Stegostoma tigrinum: one gene and its partner. The protein of the gene in region 1 purifies or fractionates together with the protein of each later gene. This does not show direct contact. Links are inferred from orthologs where the notes say so. Each region holds a gene or a part of one and is shown in the gene's direction. Other genes may lie near its edges. The genes, in order: hdac11 and gcfc2.

Region 1 (10,305 bases):
ACTGAAAGAGAAAGTATAATGTAAAGCAAAGAGTTAAGAGACCAGGATAATGAAGGATACATGCAGCTAATGTACAAGCCAAAACTGAAGTGGGTTCCTAGCAACTTAGAAGGTTTATTATAACAGGCCTGAGCTGATAAGTGGTAGTAACATTCCAGTCAGATAAGTAACAGGCAACAACCATCAAGAGAGAATCTCATCATCTCCCCACGTCATTCAATGCCATTACCAGGGCAGAATCCCCCGCTTTCAATGTCTTGGTGTGACCAATGACTAGAACCAAATTTGGACCCATTCTATAAATAATGTTATTAGAATCCTTGATAATAAAATGTGAGGCTGGATGAACACAGCAGGCCAAGCAGCATCTCAGGAGCACAAAAGCTGACGTTTCGGGCCTAGACCCTTCATCAGAGAGGGGGATGGGGGGAGGGAACTGGAATAAATAGGGAGAGAGGAGGAGGCGGACCGAAGATGGAGAGTAAAGAAGATAGGTGGAGAGGGTGTAGGTGGGGAGGTAGGGAGGGGATAGGTCAGTCCAGGGAAAACGGACAGGTCAAGGAGGTGGGATGAGGTTAGTAGGTAGCTGGGGGTGCGGCTTGGGGTGGGAGGAAGGGATGGGTGAGAGGAAGAACCGGTTAGGGAGGCAGAGACAGGTTGGACTGGTTTTGGGATGCAGTGGGTGGGGTGGAAGAGCTGGGCTGGTTGTGTGGTGCAGTGGGGGGAGGGGATGAACTGGGCTGGTTTAGGGATGCAGTAGGGGAAGGGGAGATTTTGAAACTGGTGAAGTCCACATTGATACCATATGGCTGCAGGGTTCCCAGGCGGAATATGAGTTGCTGTTCCTGCAACCTTCGGGTGGCATCAATCCTTATTGACTTTTCATTGTTTTATTCTTTTATTAAGTTTGTATTATTAATTGAAAATGACTGACGTACTTTGGGACAGCTTTTTTATTTACTCTTCCATGGGATGTGGGCATCACTGACTGGGCCAACATTTATTGCCCATCTCTAATTGCCCAGACAGCAAGGTTAAGAAAATAAGAAACCGAGAAAGCTTTGTTTGTTAGACCAGGCCTGCTAGTTGCAGGCTGAGTCTTGATTAAAAGATTCTCACATACAATGTGCAGATTTCAACTGCTAGCTCTGAAAGGAAATTCCAAAGAATAATGACGCTCTGAGAGAAGAACTCACTTGCACGCAACCCCCACCCCACCACGGAAGAATATTGTGTTTAAACAGACAGCAGAAGTTGGTATTAACAAGATCAGTACATGGAACTTGGTTCCAGTAAGTCTGAAGGAGACCCTATGTTCAAGCAGTTGATAGCTGTTGAATGGTGACTGAAACTTCAGGGAGAGTTGATCAATCTGTTAGGTCAGAGCGACAATAAAGTTGATTCTTTACAACTGTGTTTTCTGAGAGATGGTTCTGAAAGGCTGCAAAGTCAGCATGAAGATTTGAAAGCTCTCTGCCTAATCTGATACACCAGCTTCCGGAAATCCAAAGAGCGGAAAGCTGATTTAGACACAGTGCTGCCTTTGCCTGGGTGAACAGAGAAGGAGACCCTGATCAATGTTTCATGGAAAACAGCCATGGAGTCCACATGTATGCTTGTGAACAATACGTCATAAAGGACATTTAAGTTACCTGGCCAGTTTTGTTACAGTCTTTTGTTTATCCCTTGACTGTGCTTATTTGTCTGTCAGTCTTTTGTGTGAATGGGGCTGAATGCTTCAGATTTAAAACACAGACATTAATCTGCTTACCCAGCTGTTTAATTTTCTCTCTGCTAGTGTTAATTTGTATTTAATAAACATGTCAATCTTCTATTTAAGATGCAAAACTGGTGTCTGCAAATGAATTATTCACAAAGTCTGGGATTGGTTATTCAAAAATCTGTTGGGGGACTACTGGAGTGACAATGTGGGGGCTTTGATGGTTTAATTCTACTGTGTTGTGAATGGAAAAGTTGAAACCTTGTTTTGGTTCAGTTGTCCATCTCCATGTCACAAAACTACGGCTACAAGGTCAGGTCAAAGGATGGGAATCCAGCAGTGAGTAACTGACTTCCTGTGGCCCAAAGTCTATCCACTATCTATAAGGGCAGAAGTTTAAAGGAATACTGACAAGTTACCTGGATAACTGCAGCTTCATTCACATTCAAGAAGCTTGACAAATCCAGGAGGATGCAGCCTGCTCGATTGGCACCCCATCTACCGTCTTAAATATTAATTCCGTCTACCACTGCTGCACAGTGCCATTTCCATGATGCACTATAGCAACTCCCCAAAGCTTGGGGACAGCACTTTCCAAACCTGCAAAATTTACCACGCATAAGGGCACAGGCAGTAGAAATATGGGAACACTACCACCTGCAAGTTCCTGTCCAAGTCATACCATTCTTGGAAATACATTATTCTTCCTTGAATGTCTCCAGATCAAAATCCTGGAACTCCCTTCTTGACAGCTGCGTGTGTGTGCACTACAGCATTTGGACTGCTGCAGTTTAAGGAGGCAAAACACCACCATCTTTTCAGGGGTAATTTGGGACTGGCAATAAACATCGATTTAACTAGCCAATCCAACACCCATGAAAGAATTTTGCAAAGACTGTTTTCACAGGAACAAAGAGGGAAACAAAAGAATTCCTTGTTCACATCAACAAGTGTAGAAAATATTTATCTAACTGGTTGCCTTTCAATTAGAAGCAGTATGGTAGAAACCATTGACAGTTATCAATAATTTTTGACTAAGGATTAATTATCATTAAATTATTATGAATTGTTGTACTCAATTCTAGGCATATCTGAGAAGTAACATACATTTTGGGAAGTGACACACTTCCCATAAATAGTCTTTCTGCTGAATCAAAATTTATTCTAAACCTGAAGAATATAATCCACATTCAATGAGAATGAGATAGTAGGAACTGCAGATTCAATGAGAATGGCTGTTGATAGAGTTTCTTAATTTAACAAAGGCTTACACCACTATTCTTAAAAATATAAATGGACGCTTAGAAGATACTTGGATAAGTACATAACAGGAACGGTTTGGAGGGATATGGGCCAGGCAGGTGGGTCTGGTTTAGCTTGGGATTATGTTCAGCGTGGACTGGTTGGACCAAAGGGTCTGTTTCCACGCTACTTGACTCTATGACTCTAAACAATTGAAGAATTAATTCACCATGACATCTGCCAAAGATATTTTGCAATTTACATTGGTCCTTTTCATGATTTTGAGCAAGGTAACTACTTAAGTGGGACACAATGACAAACATCTGACAAAGTGAAGACTGTGGATAACTTGCTCCACTATTTAACCTGTATCCTCTATCAAGGCTTCCAAGAAAATTTTTGTCTGCAAAAGATGCCAGTGTGAGACTCATCCAGATTATTTATCATGGCCTTTACATAATAGAATAGGTCAGATGACTCTCAACAGGCCCAAGGTGAGTGGAAGGGCTAAACTGTCTTGCAGATTTAAGACTGACAAGTGTCTCATTTATTCTAAACTTGATGGTTTGCTCAAAAATATCCGGCCTAAAGTTTCTCTAACTTGTTTAGAAAACTTATTTTCTTCTATTCCTTATGAAGTTCCTTTTGTATTGCAAAAAAATGGACTGAATGTTTGTTACTGACATAAGTAGCTTGAGTTGGGAAATTTCACTACTTGGTAGATCAGCCTTGCTGTAAACTGTCAGAATTATGATCCTGGCTGACAGTAACATGGAACAAGTCAGATCCCCAAGTCAGCTGAATTGATGAGGTTTTATTTTTAGAATCTATTTACTGTTATGGTAAACTGAACATAATGTTGTTGACTGGATATATTCACAAGAGGCTGCCAAGGTATTATTAAAGAAACATCAAAGTCTTTTAAGCAAAAAAAAACACTATATAAGAACTGTTTGTTTGAAATGGTCTTATCACAAATATCAAAAATAAAGATTCAACCCATTTATTGCCACCAACAATCTTACAGATACTTGAACTCAATGAAGGGTCACCCTGTTTCTGCTTTATTTTTCTTTGTTTAGTTGGAATGACTGTATTTGGTCACTTTATAGTAAACCTTTGCATTTATTCAATGCTATCTTCTTTAGATAATTTCTCTTCACAAGATTTCTGAAAAACTAACAGAGCTTACCAAGGAAGGGTCACTGGACCTGAAATGTTAACACTGTTTTCTCCCTCACAGACGCTGCCATACCTGATGAGCTTTTCCAGCAACTTTGTTTTTGAACACTTATTGCTTGAACTCATGCAATTACCAGCCTTGTGGAACATCTTCCTCTCTGACACACTAATGTCTGTTTCTAGAGTTTTTCTTTGATTAACTCTGATGCCTCTTGGGTCTTCTGATCTTTCTGGTTAGGACACTAGTAAACTAACAGCACCTAAAATGGTGGCTTTGGTGTTGAGGTGGTTTTGACCTGGCACCTGGCAACCAGGGATTCCATTGAGCAGTTTTTGTGGGACATTTTCCTTCTTGGGATTGATGACAAGATTGGTCCTTGGGATAGCTTCTGTGAAATTTGTGGCCTGGGACTCCAGTCGCCCACGTGGCCGTCTTGCAGTGGTACTGTCTTTTCTTGAACTCAGGAACTGGGAATTTAACCAAGATGGGTTTTGTCTTTTAAAAGTTTTTTTAAAAATTTTCTTATCTATGCCTTCTGTTATTAGTACAGGTGCCTAAGTGTGGCAATTTAAGTACGGCAATTTAAACACTTACTACTTATTTTAGATACAAGTGATGATAAATTACTGTTCTAAATGACCTTTGCTGCCATAGACCTGTTTCTCTTGGACAGAAACTTGCACACTTTCTAAACTTGTGAATTTCTCTTATTCTAAAATGGAACTTGTTTATCTCTATCTCTCAATATTATAGAACACCTTATTGTTAGGCAACAGACCAATTACTTTTGTCTCTTCTAATCTTTATTTTCTAAAGTACTTTTTAAAAAGCCGCACTTGCGTTCTGATAACTCGAAGATTTCATTGAACGGCATGCCCCCTCCCATACGTGTAAGTCAGCAGGCCGAACTTTGCGAAGGGCCGATCGGATGATATCAGAGAGCAGCCCCCTGCTTCAGCCGCCCCTGGTCCTGCTGACGTTGGGCTCTGCGCACAATCGGCGTGAGACGGTGCGTGATGAGGGAGCGTAGCGGCCGCAGCTTATTTACAGTAGAGCCTTCACCTTCAGCGCTGAACAGCCCGAGTATGACCTTTCAAAGGTAATACTGTGGAAACCAAGTGTTGGGAGCGCACATTCCTCTGCCCCTGCAGAGGGAGACGCGAAGCAGGAAACTGGAGTGAAGCCGCCGCTTCCTGGGGCTCTCTCCCAGCTGGAACCTGAACATTGCCAGGCCCCAAAAGCTCAGTTTCTGCACTTGCGAGGGTCTTGTGATTGACAGCGTGCGCTGTTGACAGGTACGTACTTATCTTCCGCTTCAGGGGCACATGGGTTTTACCTGGAATTGTCATGAGACCATTTGCTACAACGTAAATCGCCAATTATTTTAGACCTTGGGCGAAAAAGTTCAACTTGTGCGCAGATGTTGCGTTTGCAGTTCACTTCTCGATTTATGCTTTATATTGCATGTTTTAGGAAGTCACCTGTAGCATTTGAGAAGGACCCTAATCGGTAATGAGCAATAAACTTTTGGTTTGTACAAATAAGACTATAAGAAAGAAAAAGGATCTGATCTGATTGTGGCCTTATCTTCACGTTCCTCCTGTTTCCCAATACCCTCGACTCCCATTCAATTTCAGGAATATATCTATCTTGAATATATTGGGATTGCTTAGCCTGCACAGCCTCCTCGCTAATTACAAAGATTCATCCTTTGTTCTCAAAGTATGTCCCTTAGTCCTCAACCCCAATGAGTGGGTGTTTTCTGTCAATATCTACTGATTCAAGTCACCACAAAATATTGTGTTTCAAGATCATTGCATCCTCCAGAACATCAAAGTGTATGGACCTAACCTGGTCACCCTTTCCTTAGCTGACAATCTGCCCATGCTAGCAACCAACTTGAATGGAACAAAACTTTGTGAATTATAAAATATGTTTCAATGCCTGCCCCATATTACCTTGTTAACCTGTTTCTCTAGTCTGCCTTTGCCACCTTATTGTCTTTGTATTTGCCCCTACTTAAATCAAAGACCATTTCTGAGCAAATTTCTCAACCTCAAATTAAAGTGAAATGTGATATTTTAATGACATGGTTACTCTTACTGAGAGGATCCCTAACCAAATAATTAATCCTGTTTCATCACACATTACAAGATCTGTCAAAACGGCCAATCCCCTGGTTTGGTTTTGTTGTGACATTTTTTGTTCTAAGCTACTGTTTCAACTGAGAACGTGGCCTCAATCTTTGCTGATTTGATGTATTCAAACATGAAGATTAAAGTCACTCATGATTATTGAGTACCTTTCTCTACACCCCCATTTTCTTTGATTTATATTTGTGCTATTGTGTATCTGTTGTCCGGGGGCTGGTGCACTACTCCCGCTAGACACTCAGTTCCCTTAACAATTTTGAACATTGCCCAAATTTACTGTATATTTTGATGCTGTGAGCCAAGATCATTTAAATTACAGCATGAATCTCATTCATTTTTATTTTAAAAAGAACCAAACTTCCTGTTCCTTTGTTCTGTTCTAAAGCTTCAAGCTCTTCCACAGTATCGTCCTGCTTTGTCACTTTATACTGAAATGCCAGCAATGATTATCAGATCATATTTATCCATCCATCCATTTCTCCTTGTCCCATTAATTCATCCAATTTGTTACAAATGCAGTGTGCAATGAAATTAGGGGGCTTTAATTTCGTCTTTTTTGATATTTTTCATTGCTCTGACTTTTTTTTTCCTGGTGTCCTCATGTTTGTACTCTCTGTTCCTTCATATCACAGACTAGTTGACATTACCATGTCACTACTATATGTTACTGTCTTGATCTTTCTCTTCAAGTTTCCCCTCACACAAACTTGCTTCATCTCCTGCAGTCGATGCCTTGTACTATCTTTTGTTATCAGCTTAATTTAGCTACAGTTTATAAATTCGTTATAGCTCATGAAGTAGAAGACCAGGAAACCATGTTTCTTTTGGAAATGTGATGAACCTAGGGCTGATCACATAGCATTTATATCTCATTTGAGATGTCAGTGGTAGCAGTACTGGGAATTGCGAAACATATAGCGTTGTTGAATTTCTTTAAACAAGTGTGGGAGGAGGTGTAGGTGTGGGGAGCGAGTTTTGTTGAAATAAGTTGACATGAAGGCAATGGTCAGAGAACAAAGAGCATTGTCTATCATTTCTGAACAGATGAGATTACAGAAAATAACATAAAACCTTGCATGTTCTTTAAAACCTTCCTCTTAACAGCCTTTTGGTCATGTGTATGAATGTTTTTTACGGCTCAGAGTCAGATTTTGTTTGATAAGCTACAGTGAAATCTCTGGTCAGTTTATTATTTTAAAGAGGCCTTAAATGCAAGTTGTTGGCATGTCTGAGAATCATAATTGGGGATTTTTAGTGAGGTGAGCAGACGGTGGATATACTATAGAATTAAGGGACAGGAAGCAGAATACACGACTAAGTTCTTGGCCTCAAAATGGTGTAAGCAGATTTATTCCTAACTCTCTCTCTAAATTAATTATATGTAGACTTTGAAGGGAAACAAACAGTTTCATGGTTTTTAGGTAAAAGCAGGGAAGTGAGACAAATTGATTAGCTTGTCCAAAAACATGACAAAGGCAAGATGTGTTAAATTGCTTCTGTGTACAGTACAAGTTTTGAATTTTCTACAGATTTTCAAATAATGGTGATGTAATGGTAAGTAGAAACCAGAGAAACCTATCTTGTGGAATACCTAATACATGATTTTAATTTTCCACATGCACTTGGAGAAGCAAAACTCCTCAATTCATAACCATAAATATTCCTGACAGTGTTCTGTAAGAATTCTTTAGAATTGAATTTGCTGGAATGTAATGAAGCTATTTGATCAAGGAGCAGAAATATTCTATTTAGCCAGGCCTGCTTTACCATTTAAGATGATGATCACTGATCTAATTGTAGCATCAAATCCACATGCTCGCATACCGCTTATAACCTTTCGCTTCTTTGCTTATCAGATATCAATCCACCTCTGCCTTAAAAAGATATTCCAAGACACTCTCTTCCTGAAAAGGTGACGGAAGCAGTGCCAACAACCCATTACATTGAGACTTTTTTTTTGCTTCATCTCTGTTTTAAATGGGTGAGCCATAATTTTTAAACAGTGATCTATACAAAGAACAAAGAAAATTACAGCACAGGAACAGGCCCGTCGGCCGTCCAAGTCTGCGTCAATTGAGATCCTCTGTCTAAACCTGTCATCTATTTTCTATGGTAACAAAGTGTGGGGCTGGATGAACACAGCAGGCCAAGCAGCATCTTAGGAGCACAAAAACTGACGTTTCGGGCCTCGACCCTTCATCAGATCCTTTGCTCCTGGCCCATCCATGTATCTGTTCAGATACATCTTACAAGACACTATCGTGTCTGCGTCTACCCACCTCTGCTGGCAACGACTTCCAGGCATCCACCACCCTCTGTTCTAGTTTCTTCCATGGCAGAAACTTTCTCTCCGCTTTTACGCTGTGAAGACTCCACGGGATCTTGTACATTGAAATCAAGTCACCTCTTACTCTGCCAAAATTCAATGGTTATGAAATTGCTTCCAATTCTTCCATAATATTGCATACCACTATTCTGTAATATTCTTCCATAAATAAGCTGACCAGTACTATACGGTAATGCAGGTGCACTCCCATCAGTGCCCTATGTAACTGAAGTTGGGCCTCTCTATTTTTGTAATCACCTGTCCTTGCAATAATTGCTAACATTCTATGAGCATTCTTAGTTAGTATGCAATTACAACGAGTAACTTGTGGCATTCGTGCAGCGGGACTCCCAGATCCCTTTGCATCTCTGAGCTCTGCAAACTTTCACCAAATGAAAAATATGCTGCTTTTTAATCATTTCTGCTGAAAAGGACAATTTCACATTTTCTCACGTTATACTCCAATTTGCGTAATATTTCTCCAGTAGCTGATTGAAATGTCCTCTTTGCAATTAACCTTTCTACCTATTCTTGTGTGATCAGCAAATTTCTCAACTATGCTTTCCATTGCTTCACCCAAAAAAATCTGATAAATTATAAGCAGTTGACCTCTCAGCAAACAATCCCTGTGACATATCATTGAATCCATCTTGCCAACCAGTAAAAGACCCATTCCTGAATACTATCTACTTGCAATTAAGTAGCAAATTTTTCATCCATGTTAGTGTGCTAATTCACACAGTATGAGCTTCTATTTTCTGCCAGTATGTTTGATGTGGCACATTATCAGATGCATTCTGAAAATATAAATCCAGTAGTTTTGGTTTTTATTCATGTGTGGACATTGCTGGCTAACCAGCATTTATTGACCATTCTGAGTTTCCTTGGAGAAGATGGTGGTGAGCTGCTTTTCTTCTTAAAACAGCTGCAGACCATGTGCTACAGGTCGAGACACCGTGCCCTCGGGGGACAATTCCTGAATTTTGACCTTGCAGCAGCGAAGGAACAATGATATATTTCCAGGTCAGGATGTTGTTAACAGACAAACATTTCCTCTGTTAATGAATAGTTGCTTTGTATTGTCCTGCATCGTGTTTTGACTGGTGTTCAAATTGACTTAATAGAAGTCTCAGACGGAATACATTTGTCACCTGCCTGGACATCTTCAGCGTGGAGAGTTTTACCTGATTCACATTGATTCTGGTATTGCTCGAACTCCTTGATGGCTTGGATGGGGAATTTGAACCTTGTGGTGATTCCATAGATTTACTGCTCGTGTCCATCTAGACGGAAGAGGTCGTAGGTGTGGAAGGTGCTGTCTAAGCATTGTTGTCAAATTTCTGCAGTACCTCTTGTAGATAGTACACCCCACTACTGCTGAGCATCAGTGGTGAAGTGACTGACTGTTTGGCTGTGATGCCAAGCAAGTGGGCTGCCTTGTCCTGGATGGTGTTAAGCTTCTTGAGTGTTGTTGGAGCTGCATCCATCCAGGCAAGTGGGGAGCATTCCATTACACTTCTGACTTGTGCCTTGTATATGGTGGACAGTTTTGGAAAGTCAGGATTTGAATTATTTATTGCAGTATTCCTAGCCTCTGACCAACTCTTGTAGCCACTGTATTTGTAAGGTGACTCCAGTTCACTTTCTAGTCAATGGTAACCCCCAGGATAGCAAGAGATTT
Region 2 (10,129 bases), on another chromosome or scaffold:
AGAAAGGTAGCTTCGGTGGGTGATAGTTGAATGCAGGTAGGGGGTAACAAGGATTTGGTCAGTGGGAACGGTGAGGTGGATAGTTGGGGAAAAAGATGGACAGGTTGTGTCAGGTCAAGGAGGTGGGGATGAGAGAGATGGTTGGACATGCGAATGAGAGCGGGGGTGGGGAGATTTTAAAACTGGTGAATTCTATGTTTTGGCCATTTGGCTGTAGGCTCCCAAGGTGAAATATGAGGTGCTGCTCCTCCAGTTTGGATGTGGTGTGATTGCGGCACAGGAGAAGGCTCAGGACGGATATGTCACCCAGGGAGTGAGAGGAGGAGTTAAAATAGTTGGCGGCCGGAAGGTGTTGTCGTTTGTTGCTCTATGAAATGGTCCCCGAGTCTACGCTTGGTCCCACTGATGTACAGGGGGCCACATCGGGAGAAATGGATATTGTAGACCAAGTTGACAAGGTGCAGGTGAACCCCTGTCTAATATGGAAGGTTTATTTTGTGCCTTGAATGGAGGTGATAGGAGAGGTGTAGCAGAAGGTGCAGCACTTCCTGCGGTTGCAGGGATAGGTGTCAGGTGTGATGGGGTTAGTGGAGAGTGTGGAACAGATGTCCCTACAAAAGGCAGATTGGGGTGGGGAGGGAAATATCTCTGCATCCAGTGTATCATTCTCTGCTACCTACAATCCAATCCCATGACCAAAGAGATACTTCCCTCCCCGCCTCAATCTGCCTTTTGTAGGGGCTGCTCACTCCACGGCTCCCTCATCTGCTCCACACTCCCCACTAACCCCACCAACCCTGGCACCTTTCCCTGCAACCACAGGAAGTGCTACACCTGCCCCACACCTCGCCCTTCACCTCCATTCAAGGCCCAAAGCAAACCTTTCATACCTGACAGGGGTTCACCTGTATATCCTCCAACTTGGTATCCATTGCTCTCGATGTGGCGTCCTCTACATTGGTGAGACCAAGTGTAGACTCAGGGATCGTTTTGTAGAGCATCAGTGCTCTGTACACAACAAACAACACCTTCCGGTCACCAACCATTTTAAGTCTCACTCCGACGCCCTGGGAGACATGTCCAACCTGGGCCTCCTCCTGTGTCCCAAGTCGCAACCCACAAACTGGAAGATCAGCACCTCATATTCTGCCTCTCCAGCCAACAGCCCGATGGCCTAAACATGAAATTCACCAGTTTTAATATCCACCTCTGCCTCATCCTATGACCAAACCTCCCTCTCCTTGACCTGACACAACCTATCTGCCCCCCCCCACCTCACTGACCGATCCCCACCACTCCCTACCGGCATTTACCTATCACCATTCCACCTACCTTCCCCAGTCCCACCCCTCCTCTCTATTTATTTGTGAGCACCCTTGCCCCCTCCCTACTTCTGAAGAAGGGCCCAAAGAACAACACTCCTGCTCCTCCGGTTCCACACTGTCGCCCTAATAAGTCCACTTTAGTGCTATCTGTTTTGGTGTTGATTAACAAGTGCCTTTTGATCTTCTGGTAATCTTGATTAAGCATGAAGCAAAGCGATGGGTTATCGTTGCACACCAATCATCAATTTCCAGATGTATTCACCACCGGAGGGAGCCATTCAAGATTTACCTGCCAGCAGGAGAACCTTGTCTAACGAAGTTAATCGAATTGCGAACAACAGCACTCACTCACAGGTTGTACATGATACGTTGGTCTTTCTGATTTGGATAGTTTCAGTAATCTTGATGTTACGAGTAATTATAGGTAATGCTCCATTGCTGACTCCATCAGCAATGACCTGGACTAGACAGAATCTAGTTGATCTCAAGATGGGCATACTTTATCTGTAAGACTTACTCTAAAAAGTCCCTGGACCTTAGCTTTATACAGGCTTTCTTTAATTTCTCTCCTCCAGTGTCACAACGACTCCACCCAGAAACTGGAGGAACAGGACCTCATATTCTGCCTTGGAACCCTACAACCCAACGGTCTCCTATGGACTTTACTAGCTTCAAAAACTTGCTACCCTTGACCTCATCCCAGGACCAGCCCCTGCTCTCATTTCTGCCTCCTTGACCTGTCTGTCTTCTTTGCCACCTATCCGCTCCACTATCCACCTTCTATCATCGTCTGCCGCTCTTTACGTATTTGGGTCCCCTTCCCCTCCTCCATTTTTGAAGAAGGATCCAAGATGTTGCTTGGCCTTGCTGTGTTCATCCAGCTCCACACTTGGTTATTCCGGACCAGAAAAGTACAGCTACCTAGAATACACCTCCTCCCACCCACCCTCCTGCAAAAATTCCATCCCCTATTCCCAATTCCTTCGCCTCCGCTGCATCTGCTCCCAGGATGAGGCATTCCACTCCCGCACATCCCAGATGTCCATGTTCTTCAAGGACCACAACATCCCCCCCGCGGAGGTCGAGAACGTCCTTAACTGTGTCTCCCGCACTTCCCGCAACACATCCCTCTCACCCCGCCCCCTCAATAACCGCCCTAAGAGAATCCCCCTTGTCCTCACATTACACCCCACCAACCTCCAGATACAACGCATCATCCTTCAACACTTCCGCCACCTACAATTCGATACCACCACTAAAGACATTTTTCCCACCCCACCCTTGTCTGCCTTCCAGCGAGACCACTCTCTCCGTGACTCCCTTGTCAGCTCCACACTCCCCTCCAACCCAACCACACCCGGCACCTTCCCCTGCAACCGCAGGAAGTGCTACACTTGCCCCCACACCTCCTCCCCCACTCCCAACCCAGGCCCCAAGACGACTTTCCATATTAAGCAGATGTTCACCTGCACATCTGCCAATGTAGTATACTGTATCCACTGTACCCAGTGTGGCTTCCTCTACATTGGGGAAACCAAGCGGAGGCTTGAGGACCGCTTTGCAGAACACTTCCACTCGGTTCGCAATAAACAACTGCACCTCCCAGTCACGAACCATTTTAACTCCCCCTCCCATTCCTTAGATGACATGTCCATCTTGGAGTGCCACAATGATGCTACCCGAAGGTTGCAGGAACAGCAACTCATATTCCGCTTGGGAACCCTGCAGCCCGATGGTATCAATGTGGACTTCACAAGCTTCAAAATCTCCCCCTCCCTCACTGCATCCCAAAACCAGCCCAGCTCGTCCCCGCCCCCCAGGGCATAACAAAACCAGCCCAGTTTTTCCCCGCCTCCCTAACCTGTTCTTTTCTCACCTATCTCCTCCTCCGACCTCAAGCTGCACCTCCATTTCCCACCTACCAACCTCAACACGCCTCCTTGACGTGTCTGTCCTCCCCGGACTGACCTATCCCCTCCCCACATATACTCTCCTCTCCACCATCCATCTTCAGTTCGCCTCTCCCTATTTATTTCAGAACCCTCTCCATGAAGGGTCTAAGCTTTTGTGCTCCTGAGATGCTGCTTGGCCTGCTGGGTTCATCCAGCTTCACACTTTGTTATCTTGGATTCTCCAGCATCTGCAGTTCCCATTATCTCTGATCTCAAAGATAATGGGAACTGCAGATGCTGGAGATTCCAAGATAATAAAATGTGAGGCTGGATGAACACAGCAGGCCAAGCAGCATCTCAGGAGCACAAAAGCTGACGTTTCGGGCCTAGACCCTTCATCAGAGAGGGGGATGGGGGGAGGGAACTGGAATAAATAGGGAGAGAGGGGGAGGCGGACCGAAGATGGAGAGTAAAGAAGATAGGTGGAGAGGGTGTAGGTGGGGAGGTAGGGAGGGGATAGGTCAGTCCAGGGAAGACGGACAGGTCAAGGAGGTGGGATGAGGTTAGTAGGTAGCTGGGGGTGCGGCTTGGGGTGGGAGGAAGGGATGGGTGAGAGGAAGAACCGGTTCGGGAGGCAGAGACAGGTTGGACTGGTTTTGGGATGCAGTGGGTGGGGGGGAAGAGCTGGGCTGGTTGTGTGGTGCAGTGGGGGGAGGGGATGAACTGGGCTGGTTGAGGGATGCAGTGGGGGAAGGGGAGATTTTGAAACTGGTGAAGTCCACATTGATACCATATGGCTGCAGGGTTCCCAGGCGGAATATGAGTTGCTGTTCCTGCAACCTTCGGGTGGCATCATTGTGGCAGTGCAGGAGGCCCATGATGGACATGTCATCAAGAGATCCCCTATTCCCAATTCCTCCGCCTCCGCCGCATCTGCTCCCACGATAAGACATTCCACTCCCGCACATCCCAGATGTCCAAGTTCTTTAAGGACCGCAACTTCCCCCCCACGGTGATTGAGAACGCCCTTGACCGCGTCTCCCGCATTTCCCGCGACACATCCCTCACACCCCGCCCCCGCCACAACCGCCCCAAGAGGATCCCCCTCGTTCTCACACACCACCCTACCAACCTCCGGATACAACGCATTATCCTCCGACACTTCCGCCATTTACAATCCGACCCCACCACCCAAGACATTTTTCCATCCCCACCCCTGTCTGCTTTCCGGAGAGACCACTCTCTCCGTGACTCCCTTGTTCGCTCCACACTGCCCTCCAACCCCACCACACCCGGCACCTTCCCCTGCAACCGCAGGAAATGCTACACTTGTCCCCACACCTCCTCCCTCACCCCCATCCCAGGCCCCAAGATGACATTCCACATTAAGCAGAGGTTCACCTGCACATCTGCCAATGTGGTATACTGCATCCACTGTACCCGGTGCGGCTTTCTCTACATTGGGGAAACCAAGCGGAGGCTTGGGGACCGCTTTGCAGAACACCTCCGCTCAGTTCGCAACAAACAACTGCACCTCCCAGTCGCAAACCATTTCCACTCCCCCTCCCATTCTCTTGATGACATGTCCATCATGGGCCTCCTGCACTGCCACAATGATGCCACCCGAAGGTTGCAGGAACAGCAACTCATATTCCGCCTGGGAACCCTGCAGCCATATGGTATCAATGTGGACTTCACCAGTTTCAAAATCTCCCCTTCCCCCACTGCATCCCTCAACCAGCCCAGTTCATCCCCTCCCCCCACTGCACCACACAACCAGCCCAGCTCTTCCCCCCCACCCACTGCATCCCAAAACCAGTCCAACCTGTCTCTGCCTCCCGAACCGGTTCTTCCTCTCACCCATCCCTTCCTCCCACCCCAAGCCGCACCCCCAGCTACCTACTAACCTCATCCCACCTCCTTGACCTGTCCGTCTTCCCTGGACTGACCTATCCCCTCCCTACCTCCCCACCTACACCCTCTCCACCTATCTTCTTTACTCTCCATCTTCGGTCCGCCTCCCCCTCTCTCCCTATTTATTCCAGTTCCCTCCCCCCATCCCCCTCTCTGATGAAGGGTCTAGGCCCGAAACGTCAGCTTTTGTGCTCCTGAGATGCTGCTTGGCCTGCTGTGTTCATCCAGCCTCACATTTTATTATCTCTGATCTCAAGTCAGCTTTCCTGCTCCTCTGATGCTGCCTGGCCGACTGCAGCTCCATAGATATAACACAATGTGGAGCTGGAGGAGCACAGCGGGCCAGGCGGCATCAGAGGAACAGGAAAGTTGACGTTTCGGGTCCGACCCTTCTGATGAAGGGTCTAAGCCCGAAACGTCAGCTTTTGTGCTCCTGAGATGCTGCTTGGCCTCCTGAAAAAGGCCCACTTTTCTACTCCAGCTCCTCGCTATGTTATCTCTGAATCACCCTCCACAGTTCTTAAAAGAACTCCGTCCAGTCTTTTCGATACAAATATCAAGCAAACCCAGAATCTAATAGGGGTTGATGTTTGGTGAGATTTTAAAAACAGGACGTCGTTTATCTTTTGATGGGAAAAAGGATAGTACTGCTCGTGCATTTCTAGCCTTCACTTACGTATTGTGTTGGTATTGAAACTTAAACTGGAATCTTTGCGATAAATGTTTATTCCTTGTCATACTTCACACCCCCCCCTTACAATCAATAAGTGGAAGATTCCCTCTCCTTTCCGGTCCGTTCCGCGAACGTTGCGGGGTGCCGTGTTCTGTCTGTAATTGTCTTTAGAATGTTCGGAAAGAATCCGAAGCGGAATTTCCGCCGCAGGAGGAGTGAGTCCAGCGAGGAGGATGATCAGGAGCAGCTTCAGCCCGGAGCTAGGACCAGGGCTGCAGTCATACTCGCTCCACCAACCTGTGGCTTAGCCAGGGCCCAGTCCGCCAGCCCCAGCTCAGCTTCAGCAGACAGTGGCAACGAGGAAGCTGTAGTCGAATGGGGCGCTCCAAAGCACACCAGTCAAACCCGTAACTGTGACCTCAGTCTGCTGAGCTTCGGCTACGACAGAGAAGGTAATGCTGCATATTAGTCCGCCGTCAGGTATCTTTGGGCAGGCACGCTAAGATCTGTTCCTCTGAGCTTCTTAGTGTCTTGCCTTTCATTGAGGATACTTGTCTTGTTCCTTCTTCCAAAGTGTAATCCCTCCTATTTATCAGGATTAAATTCCATATGCCACTTATCTGCCCTTCTGATCAATCTGTTTATATTCTCCTGCAACCTAACGCCTTTCTCCTCAGTCAACCACACAATCTTTATGTCATCCGTAACTTCTTATCCACCCCACATTCTCATTTTTGTCACTTATGAATATCACATACAATGAGGGACACAGCACATCCCTGTCGTATGCTACTGGGTCCCAATCTCACAAACAGTGTTGCACTACCATACTGTGTCTCCTGTCACTTCAGTAATTCTAGATCCAACTTGCCAAGTTAACTTGAATCCCATGAGTTTTTACGTTTTTTACCAGTTTCCCATATGGTATTATTCTAATGAATTTGAGAATAAACTTTCAGTGCAGTAATTGGCCAACTTGGATTTTTCTGAGATAATAAAATGTGAGGCTGGATGAACACAGCAGGCCAAGCAGCATCTCAGGAGCACAAAAGCTGACGTTTCCGGATTTTTCTGATTTACTTTTGTAGATAGGAAATATCTGGGCAATTTTCTACATTGGGTAGATGTCAAAGTTGTACCTGTGCTGGAACAACTTGACTAGGTATGCGGCAAGTTCAGCAGCCAAATGTTCAGAATTCTATTGCTGTCATATTCTCAAGGCCCAAAACCTTGACTGTATCCAAGGCCTTCAACCATTTCTTGCTGTCGTATGAAGTGAGTTGAATTGGCTGAAGTTTGGTATCTGTAATGCTGGGCACCTCAGAAGGAGGCCAAGATAGATTACCCACTCAGCGTTTCAGGATCAGGTTTTACCCATTTTAATACATACTTTTGAAACTCCTGTAAATTTTTAGGGATTCGTTTGTTGAAGGAATATGCTTAGATAATGAGTATTTATAAATTGTAGAAATTGTATAAAACCAGACACATTCAAATGGAAATCAGTGAAGCTTGACAGTTCACTGCAGTCTTAGATAATGAATTCCACAGATTCATGACTCGTTGTGAGAAGTAATTCTTCTTATCTCTTTTAATTCTGCTACTCCTTAAAACTCATTGTTGTACATTGTCTCACACGAGTAAACTACTTTTGATCTTCTTCATCAGTTACCTTAAGTGTCGTATATACCTCAATTAGATCTCTCATTCTATTGGAGAGGTTGATTAAAAACACACAATATTTGAAAAACCTGGGTCAGGCAGCATCCGAAATAGAAACAATTAACTTTCTTAATACTTCAAGGTGATAATCTGTTGACAGCTTTGTGGAATTGCAATCCAAATACCAGTGCCCTATCTACCTGAATTCTCCAGAACTCAAATTGGCTCATTTTTTCTACTGATCAAAACCTTCTGATACAGAATGGGCAATATACAGAGATCTGAACAGGAAATTTCTGTGCCTGGGCATACACCATCAGGAGTATTCTATAAAGAATACAGCAAGTGATAATGTCAAGACAAGTATGGAGAATGCTTGAGAAACTCCAGTTCAGCAGCGTCTGTGGAGAGAGAAAGAGAGTTAATGTTTCATCTGGTATGAATTCTTCGGCATTCTTCCTTGGCAATTGAAAGGCAGGTAGTTTCCTGTTAAAGTTTCACATGAGGAGAAGCATGAAACGGACTGGAGCCTGGGACAGCTGGGAGATGGTGAGTCAGTGCTAATGGAGACAGAGGTCAAGTTTGCATGTGACAGCACACCGCATTGTGTGTGGATTACAGAATCCCAATGACTCCATTTGACCCATCAAGTCTGCACTGACCCTCTGAAGACCATCCCACCCAGTACCCTCTCCCCAGAGACAGAGGATTCACCTATCTTGCACATCCTGGATAGTACAAGGCATTTTAGTATGGCCAATTCACCTAATCTGCATATTTTCAGACTGTGGCAGGAAACCAGAACAGCAAGAGGAAACCCATGCAGGCATGGGGCAAATGTGCAGATTCCACAGAGCTGGTCACCTAAAACTAGAATTGAACCTGGATCCCTGGCACTGTAAGGTAGCAATGCTAACCTCTGAGCCACCATGCCGAGCCTTCAGGACTGCAGAATGCAGCGAGGGGCATATATTTGAGGAGATAACAAAGTGTGGAGCTAGAGGAACACAGCAGGCCAGGCTGCATCAGAGTAGCAGGAAATTTGATGTTTCGGGTTGGCACCCTTTTTCAGAAATATACCTGAGGAGCGTTGTCTGTCTCGGAAATGCCTGTAATCCTGGTTGGGTTAAAATGAAGAGTGGGAAGAACGATTGGAATTTGTGAGGGGTAACGTGGAACCAGAGGCAGACACTGAGGAAGATAGTGTGGCTGTGAAAGTGCATTTTGGTTAACACTTTATCCCAAACCAGAAGAGAGATAGAAAGCAAAGAATGTGAATAAGCCAAAAGATTAGAACTGAAATCCCAATGGAGACAAAAGCAGAACTTCAAGATAGACATTCCTGGAAGAGAAGCCATGATGTGGAGGTGCTGTGTCGGTCTGGGGTGGACAAGGTTAGAAGTCATGCAACACCAGGTTATAGTCTTAACAGGGTTATTTGAAATTACAAGCTTTCAGAGTGCTGTTCCCTTCTCAGGTGGAATGCTCTGAAAGCTTGTGGTTTCAAATAAACCCATTAGACGATAACCCGGTGCTGTGTGACTTCTGTCTAAGAAGAGAAGCGGCAGTGAATTAAACATTCAAATAAAAGCAAACTACAGCAAATGTTGGAAATCTGAATCAAACAGGGAGAATGTTGGAGAAACTCAGCAGGTTTGGCAGCATCTGTGGAAAGAGAAACAAAGTTAATGTTTAAAGTCTGCCATTATTTCTTCTGAACTGTGACAGCATAGCTCTGGATAAGATACTGAAGATCTAATAGTGCTAAATTCAGAAATAATGCTCCTCTAGCAATAGCAATAGCTCAGTAAATACCTCAAGGTTTTTTGCAGCATGGTGGGTATTCCAGAAGTTGGGAACTGGGCAACTGAATGCATTGCTACCAGTGATGGAACAATCAAAATTGGAGGTGTACAAAAGGCCAGAATTAGAGCAGCACAAATATCTGTTTTATGGGACTGGCGAGTTAGGGAGAGCAAGCTATGCAAGAATTTGAAAAGCAAGATGAGAATTCATAAAGCAAGACTTTCACATTTATAGAGGATGTCCTGTGTGAGATCCGAGAGGCGTAGATTGGAATAATTGAGTCTTGAGGTAACAATGGCCTGAATGAGGATTTCATTAAGGGGATTTGAGAGACTGAGTGAAGTCAGGTGATGTTGTGGAGGTGAAGATAGACAGTCTTTAGTGCTGGTGCGATTTGTGATATTGGAATCTTATTTTGTGGTCAGGTGTGATACTGAGGTTGCAAATGGCCTAGTTAAATTTCAGCCTGTGGTCAAGGTGAGAGATGGTGTCAGTAGCTATGGAACAGAGAGTTTAAAGAAGCTGGGATTGAAATCAAATGTTGAAGAATTATCTGGAAGAAATTTTTAGTCAAGCCTTAGAGGCCAGATAACTTCCCTGGAGACTGTGGGAGTCAAAGAGAGTTTGTGCCAAGTTAGAACTGTGTGTCATCTGTATGTACTTAAAAACTATTGCTGTGTTTACTGATGTTGTTTGGAGAAGCACTTAGATGAGAGAGAGGGCCAAGGATAGATCATTGCGGGTAACAGTGCAGGGTTAGGAAGAAAATCCATTGCAAGTGACACTTTGGCTCTGATTACTCAGATAAGAATGGAAGCAAGTGAGCTAAATCCCAGTCCAGCTAGACAACAGGGAGA

Evidence for each region.
Region 2: the proteins of hdac11 (region 1) and gcfc2 purify together in Homo sapiens (co-immunoprecipitation; 3 studies listed by BioGRID and IntAct, counting the BioPlex papers as one, with this or other methods). This does not show direct contact. The link is inferred for Stegostoma tigrinum from reciprocal best matches to the Homo sapiens genes HDAC11 and GCFC2.

What each region holds. Positions count from the first base shown.
Region 1 is NC_081364.1:26,227,696-26,238,000, forward strand, and holds the start of hdac11 (histone deacetylase 11), read left to right. Parts: upstream 1-5,127; 5' UTR 5,128-5,440; intron 5,441-10,305. UniProt on the Homo sapiens protein: Responsible for the deacetylation of lysine residues on the N-terminal part of the core histones (H2A, H2B, H3 and H4).
Region 2 is NC_081357.1:74,076,773-74,086,901, reverse strand, and holds the start of gcfc2 (GC-rich sequence DNA-binding factor 2), read left to right. Parts: upstream 1-5,765; 5' UTR 5,766-5,976; coding exon 5,977-6,256; intron 6,257-10,129.